2 linked regions of the Cricetulus griseus genome follow. The main gene of each other region encodes a partner of the protein of the gene in region 2 in a complex. Links are inferred from orthologs where the notes say so. Each region holds a gene or a part of one and is shown on either strand. Other genes may lie near its edges. The genes, in order: Prkag1 and Prkaa1.

The links.
Region 1: the proteins of Prkaa1 (region 2) and Prkag1 are in contact, whole or in part, in a crystal structure (PDB 6C9H), measured with the Homo sapiens proteins. The link is inferred for Cricetulus griseus from reciprocal best matches to the Homo sapiens genes PRKAA1 and PRKAG1. Residues at the interface, in NP_006242.5 of Homo sapiens: Ser295, Ser296, Thr297, Met298, Ile299, Asp301, Glu302, Lys305, Arg342, Glu347, Ala348, Phe351, Tyr352, Leu353, Arg369, His371, Pro372, Glu373, Pro376, Phe377, Asn449, Val451, Thr452, Thr536, Pro537, Arg538, Gly540, Ser541, His542, Thr543; in NP_002724.1 of Homo sapiens: His36, Asp40, Leu41, Ile42, Pro43, Thr44, Ser45, Val50, Leu64, Val65, Gly68, Val69, Arg70, Trp75, Ser77, Lys78, Lys79, Gln80, Phe82, Pro158, Glu159, Ser160, Gly161, Asn162, Lys170, Arg171, Lys174, Phe175, Leu178, Phe179.

The regions. Positions count from the first base shown.
Region 1 is NC_048595.1:395,285,460-395,289,274, forward strand, and holds part of Prkag1 (5'-AMP-activated protein kinase subunit gamma-1), read right to left. Parts: intron 2,732-3,815; coding exon 2,622-2,731; intron 2,492-2,621; coding exon 2,410-2,491; intron 2,315-2,409; coding exon 2,256-2,314; intron 2,111-2,255; coding exon 2,065-2,110; intron 1,961-2,064; coding exon 1,906-1,960; intron 1,531-1,905; coding exon 1,404-1,530; intron 1,214-1,403; coding exon 1,048-1,213; intron 867-1,047; coding exon 829-866; intron 582-828; coding exon 435-581; intron 302-434; coding exon 194-301; 3' UTR 1-193. UniProt on the Homo sapiens protein: AMP/ATP-binding subunit of AMP-activated protein kinase (AMPK), an energy sensor protein kinase that plays a key role in regulating cellular energy metabolism.
Region 2 is NC_048595.1:339,154,024-339,157,838, reverse strand, and holds part of Prkaa1 (5'-AMP-activated protein kinase catalytic subunit alpha-1), read right to left. Parts: intron 2,660-3,815; coding exon 2,173-2,659; intron 2,063-2,172; coding exon 1,936-2,062; intron 1-1,935. UniProt on the Homo sapiens protein: Catalytic subunit of AMP-activated protein kinase (AMPK), an energy sensor protein kinase that plays a key role in regulating cellular energy metabolism.

The sequences.
Region 1 (3,815 bases), about 56 Mb from region 2:
ATGTATACATAATGGTAAGGGAAGCTAAAAGTCCTTTCTCCCCCCCACCTCCGGTCTCCTCTAGTTCCAGACAGTGGGTATGGAGCTCCTGAGGGAACACACTCGGTTCTTCCAGGATTTCATCTGATTCCCAGAGCTCTCAGGAGGCAGTGAGGGGGCCATCTTCCCTGGCGCTGCCTGTCCCTCCCCACGCTCAGGGCTTCTTCTCTCCACCTGTGAGCACCAGAGCCTGCAGGATATCGGACAGCGATACGATGCCCTTGACCACGTCGTTCTCATCCACCACCACCAGACGGTGAACCTGGCACAGAGCAACGAAAAGTAATGTGAGTGCCAACTTCAGTTAGGATGAGTGCCTTAGCCCCTGCCCTCTTTGAAAACACCACTCTCAAGGCCACTCCCCACTAGCTGCTTGAGAGGGGCTGACTTCCTACCTCTGCTTCCACCAGTCTATTAATGATAGTCTCCAGAGTCTCCTGTAGATAGCACTTGAGAACACCCTCAAAGTAGTGAGACCGGTGTTGTAGAGCTTTTGTCACAGATATATCCAGGTTGTTATAGGTCTTTTCTGCTGCCAAATTCTGGAGGTGGGGAGATGGGCTTGAAAGGGGACCAGTTCCTAAGCCCTGGACCAACCCAACCTCACTAGAGGAACTGAGGGCACTCCTTAGCTCTGCCCACAAGCCACAACCAGTCCATTCAGCTACTGTCCAGATAGGGTTCAAATTGTAGAAGCATCTGACACCAAAGAGCCAGCCCCCTTTTGTTCCCTCTCCACATTCAACACCCCCCCTTCTCCTCCCTCCCAGCCCCTCCACTGTCACTCACAATCACATCAAACTTGGAGTAGATGTCCACAACACGCCCTAGGGAGACAGAGGCAGCTCAGAAAAAAAACAAACAAACAAACAAAAAAAAACAAAAATCTGGTAGCCAAAGCTCTTACTACCCATAGGTTCACCCTTTAGGCTGAGCTGAGGGGAAAGCAGGTTTTCCCAGAGCCACTTGACCCCCTAGAAACCTCCCTCTTCTTTCCCAATATCTCACCTTTCTCATCCACCACAGGCAGGGCAGAGACTCGGTGCTGTACAAAGATGCCTAGAGCCACATAGACAGGTGTGGTAGTACGGACCATAGCAATGTTGGCATAGGTGCCAATCTGTAGCTCTTCCAGAGACTTAGACATGAATTCTGGCTTGGGGAACTCAGTGATCTGAGGGAAGAAGTGGCTTTCAGAAGTACTGGCTTTCAGGGAGCTCTGTGGTAGAGCATGATGTGCTGGGTTCAATCCTCAGTACCCAAAACTCTGACTTGCCTTGACTTTTAAGGCCCCCCAAACTGTTGGATACATGCCTCCAATCCAGCAGATAAGAGACTAAGGAACTGGGCTAAAGTCCACTTACAAACAGCTTGAGGAACTTGAGGATGCGCTTGTGAGTAAGGATGTACAAGGTGTTGCCTGACTCTGGGTCAATGACTGGAAGCCTGTGGATCTTATTTTGAATTAATGAAGAGACAGCATCGAACAAGCTGTGAAAAGGTAGAAGGTCATACTCAGCCTCCACAGTGCTACAGACAAACTGTACAGCTCCTTAGAGTGTGCTTATGGACAGGGAACATCCATGGTCAGGGGAAGGGGCAGTGCTCAGACTTAAAGTAGTGTGATGTGGCTGGGGGTGGTGATGTACTTGGAACGCCAGTATGAGGATGGGCAGAAGAATCCTAAATTCAGGCCAGCCTGAGCTCTGTAGTAAGTCAAGGCCAGTCTTGGCTATGTATGAGACATTTTTCTCCAAAACAAAAAAAGCATAGCTGTATGCACTGGAAGAAGTTTTCCTTCTTTCATGTCCCTCCCATGGGCCTTCGGGTGTTTAGACATAAACACATAGCCAGAACTTAACTTACCTGGCATTTGGAGAAATGCAGACAAGGGGCTTAAAGGAGTCCTGTAGGTATACCTCTGAAGGGAAAGGGGGTAGTTCACAAAACACTGCCACATAAAAGTGTTTCCCAGGAAACCCTCCTTATCCCTTCATCTTTCACAACCTCCAATTCTTTATGTACCTCTCCAAGTTTCTATCTTGTGTTCTTCCAGTTCATAGATCTGCACCTAGAAGCAGAAGCAGCAGATCTGAGACTTGCTCTCCCCTCTTCATTAACTCTTTTCTTGGAGGGAAAAAAACAAGGCAGGAGGGGCCCATAGGCAACAACCAAAGATAGGGATGTGGTTTGCTTTGGAAGCTCAGGTTCCTTACCAAGGCCGACTTATAGTATCGGTGCAGGATGTTGATAAAGTCAGTGATGGTCAGCATGCCTAGAAGGCAAGACAAGAGCCCTCAGCACTGTTCAAGGCTTCTCCCTCTGACTGGAAAAGATGCCGACGGGCGTCTTCCAGAAACTTCTGCTTACCCACAAAACTCTGCTTCTTACTATCCCACAGAGGGGCAGCCCGAACACCGTTAGTCACCAGGGCAAAGAAGGCTTTCTTTACCTATAGTCAAAAGAGTGAGAGCATGAGGTGGTGAGAAAGAAGGGGTTGGCATGTGGAAGTACTAAGTATGATGATGGGCACTGAACCAGTGGCTCCTCAGAATGCAGAGGAGGAAAGGGGCTCCACCCACCTGCAGGGAAGTATCAAACACAACCAACTTGGAACTTGTGGGGATCAGGTCGTAGCAGCGATGAGACTTCATAAAGGATGTATACACACCATTGTTTGATTCCGGAGTCTCTGCACAGGGGGAAGAGTTGGGAAGTTGGTGTCTTTCTTTTATGCAAGAACTCACAATCAGAAGAGACAGAAACCAAAAAAGAGTTCTAGTTTCTCAGCTTTGAAGAGATTTTTGTTTTGCTTTTATTGTTTCTCATCTTTTCATTAGAGCTTTTCTTCCTAGTTAACATATTTTCCTTTGTCTTTTCTTAACGAAGATGAGATACCAAACAAGCTTCTTTATATTTGTTGAAGATCTGCAGGTGAGAAATTCATGGTTCAGGAAAGGCCATTTCTAACAACACTAAGTGTTCAATGAGCTTGCCCAGAACACTCAGAATCACAGTGTGAGTCAGAAATCCCAAAGGGAGAGCCTGGCTACATTTACCTCCATTCTCCTGATTTACAAATTTCCTTTTTTGCTTTTAAAATTAACTATAAGGTTTTGTTTGTTTTTTTTAAAATAATCTGTGTGTACTGTGTATGGGTGTTTCACTTGTATATCTGTATACCAAATGTGTGCCTGCTGCTTGTTGAGGCCAAGAGGGTGATTGATTGTTGGAACCCCTGGAAGTTACTGACAGTTGTAAGCTGCCATGTGGGTGCTGGGAATTAGACTTGAGTCCTCTAGAAGAAAAGCCAGTGTTCTTCTGCTGAGCCAACTCTCCAGTCCCTTCATTTTCTTGAGACAGAGTCTTGCTATGTAGCCCAGGCTTGCCTCAAGCTTGTAATAAACTTACTGCCTTAGTTCTCTAAGTGCTGAATTTGGGGCATGCAACACCATGCCTGGCAGCCTGTGTTTTTGCTTTTTGGGGTTTTGTTGTTGTTTTTGTTTTTCTAGACAGGGTTTTTTTTTTTTTTTTTTTTTTTTTTTTTTTTTTTTGTGTGTGTGTGTGTGTGTGTGTGTGTGTGTGTGTGTGTGTGTGTGTGTGTGTGGCCCTGGCTGGCCTGGAACTAGCTCTATAGAAGAAGCCGGCCTCAAACTCACAGAAATCTGTCTGCCTCTGCCTCCTGAGTGCTGGGACTAAAGGCATGAGCCACCACCGCCTGGCCCCCAGTCTGTGTTTTTTAACTGCTTGCTCTAAACTGGAAAGGCAACCCTCCA
Region 2 (3,815 bases):
CTAAGAGCCAGGAAACTAATAACCTGAGTTTTAATTTAAAAAAAAAAAAAATCCCCTACCACTAAAAGTCTTTTCTATTAAAAGCACAGAATCAATCTCTTGAAATATGGATGATATCTTGGAAATCATCTCAGCCAAGAACCATTTTACTAATATAAAACAAAGCCAGAGAAAACAATGATTTGTTCAAGGAAACAAATGAACAGAAAGGTTCGGCCATTTGGGCACTCTACCCTCCCAACTTCAGTTCAGTGCTTTTCACTCTGCAGTTTCTCCTATTTCATCTGCGAGCATAACAGAGCAACAATTGCAATAAGCAAAACCAGAAAAGCAGGGACTAGTGGTACAGGCCTTCAATCCCAGCTACTCAGGAAGCTAAAGCAGGAGGGTCATAAGTTCAAGGCCTACCTGAGCTAGAGAGTTCAAGGACAACCTGGGTAACTTGTGAGACCTTCCTTCAAAATAACAAGTAAAAAGAGGGCTGGGGCTAGAGCTTATTGAAAAGGCCTGGATTCATCTCTAGCACCACAAAAGTAACACTAAAAGTGAAATCAAAGAGAAACTAGTTGGGAACAGAATACAAGTAGAAATAGTACTAGAGCAGAAATATAGAAATAGTAAGTATTCATTCACTTGGTCAAGTCCAAGAGTTGATATAACTATGACTGCAAAATTATCTAAATACCAAGAGAAAAATAAAGCTGGCTCCCGACCTCAAACTGTACTGATGTGTGTTAGATGACAGGTACATGTTATCCAGACATCTGAGCATGGTGCACACCTGTAACCAGCACTCAGAGATGAAACAAAGAGGACTGTCCCTCCAAACCAGGCCAGCCTACATAGAAGACCCTTTCTCAAAAGTAAATAACCATTCCATCATGTTGGCCAGAATATATCACAGCTCAAGCCTTTGTCTTTCTTAAACTCTGTAGGTGCTGACTTTGAGTCTGTAAGTAGTAATTCTAAATATCCTCCCATAATACTGGTTAACTGATTTGGAAGGACAGCCATAATCTTGTATTTATTTTCTTAAAGTACTTAATAGTAAATAAAACTACAGTAACATCAACCTTTGCTTTTCAATAAAAAATTTATGTTGCCAGAATGAACAAAGCAACAGAAATATGAAAGAAAATTATCACTTTAGAATTAAGCTGTATATTTTTAAAGATTTTACAGGACAATAATCATTTTCTACCTTGGGAGAGATGGGAGTGGTGATTGAAGACAGTGTTTTGTGTATGCTAGACAAGAACTTCACTACTGAACTAAATTCCTAGCCCCGGGATGATGAACTGTAAAAGAACAATGTACTACATGGAACAAGAATAACAGGATTCACAGTTGTCGGTGTCATGGAGCACAGAAGTCACATTTACTATTACTTCCCAGGAAAAAGCCAGGAAGTTTCATTAGACACAAAGGTTGAAGATGGAGAGGGCAGTGGGGGAGGATGATTAAAAACAAAGTATCTGTATGAAAGTATCATACTGGAGGCTAGGGAGATGACTTGGTAGATAAAGAGCCTGCCGCACTGCATAAGGACCTCAATTCCAATCCTCGGCACCTATGTAAAAGCCAGGCCAGGAGGTGCACATCTATAACCCCAACACTGAAGGCTGGAAATGAGAGGATCCCTGGGGCTTGCAGGCCAGTAAGTCTAGCCTAAGGGGCAACCTCCTGTTTGGAAAGAGGCCTTATCTCAAAAGTAAGATGGAGAGTGATGGAGAAGGCAGCTGACATTGACCTCTGCTGCCCTCACCCCATGTACACATGGGTGGGTGAGGAAAAGGGGGAGGGGGAGGGAGGGAGGGAGGAACTTACTACTTTTCATGCTTAGTTTTAATTCAAAACAAAAGAAAAGAAAAAACTATAAACCAAATTAGTTAAACAGGTATACCATATTACCTCTATGGGTTTTTGTGTACATACCATCAATACTACGGAAATCCAGTAAGTAAGTCCGACTATCCACTTGGTATAGCTGTAGACTCATTTTGGAAAATGTGCTTGTCACGGGGTTCTTCCTTCGTACACGCAAATAATAGGGGTTTACAACCTAGCATATGATATGGACAAAAACAAAGGCACATCCAATCAATTCTTCTACAAAAGACTTTTTGTCTGCAGGTTTCCCAAATGTGTTAGGTAGAATGCTTGCCTTCTTACCTTCCATTCATAATCCAATTGCTTGATTGCTCTACAAACTTCTGCCATAATATCATTTGGCCGACTTTGACTTCTAATTCCCAAATGCCACTTTGCTTTCCGCACACCTTGGTGTTTGGATTTCTGTGGGTTTAATTCATCAAGGGTGTGCCGTGCCCTTGGTGTTTCAGCAACCAAGAATGGTACCCTTTCAGGATGTGGCCGAGTTAAATGGTGGTCGTCTAGGAAAGAATCAGGTGGGCTTGTTGCCAAGTAGAAATCTTTGGCTTCGTTCATTATCCTCCTGTTATCAATTATGAGGTGGTAGGCAACTGCCAATGGGTCCTGGTGGTTTCTATTGTAAAGGCAGCTGAGAACCTCCTCCTCCGAACATTCAAACTTTTCACACACTTCTTTTAAGGCTTCATCATCAATCATGGTTGAACTGTATGATGGATCCTCCGGAAAGAGATATTTTGGAAGGTCCTGTTTAAACCATTCATGTTCCCTAAGAGGAAACAGCAGTGTGAGGGGAAGAATTTTGAGTAAAACCAAGAATAAAAACAATAACTTTCAAGAGTTTAAGAAATGAATTAATTTAATTTCTACCCACACTATATTACTACCATTTTTTTTTTAACTTTTTCTTCTTCTAGCTCATACTTCACTGAGTATGTTGAGAAAAATGTTGTAGCCTGCTGCTAGGGGTTTTTTTGGGGGGGAGAGGCGGCGGGGGGGGGGGGGGCTCGGCATTAATACAGGGTTTCTCTGTATAACCCTGACTGTCCTGAAACTCACTCAATAGACCAAGCTGGCCTCAAACTCACAGAGATCCACCTGCCTCTGCCTCCCGAGTGCTGAGATTAAAGGCATGCAGCACCACTGCCCGGCCCTGGCACTAATTTTTAAGGATTGCTGCAGCCAAATGAAAAGGTATGTCTACCCAAATGACAATGACAAAGTACAGATTTTTTTCCAGCTCAGAAAGAAACTATGTTGTGTAGCTTCACTGTATTCTCTTGTTTATACTGCCTCATGTTACATGAAAAAAAAAAAAAAAAAAACTTCTTACTGTATAATTAGTTTCAGGCTAAGCAATTCATACACATAAAATTTATCCTCATCCTCATGACCCAATTCTGTATGACTCAAAAGGCTATTCTCTGAATGATTCCCTATTATATCATTTAACTGCACATATAAATGGATATTGAACCATATCAAGAACTATGCTAAAACTTAAAAAACAAAAATGAAAATGAAAACAACACCAAAACACAGAAGAAAATACCCCAAAGAATAATGGTTATTGTCTAAGAAACTGACCAAAAGTATTATTTTATTCTCTTGTTTTTGTTTTGTTTTGTTTTGTTTTGTAATTTTAAGGGCATTTGTTTGTTTCCAAATGGAGACTGGTCTTGAGACAGAATCTCACCATGTAGACCAGGCTGGAATCAAACTCACTGCCATCCTCCTTCAGCTTCCCAAGTACTGGAATTATGGCTGTGTGCCACCATGCGTAGCATTTCTATCAGATTTTAATTATGAAAAAAATACCTAAAACATGCAAATCTACTTCTCACTTGGATATTTTACAACATCAATTTAATAGAACCAGTTTCCCTTCCCATCTGGGAGCTAAAGCCATGCCCTGCCACTTGGGA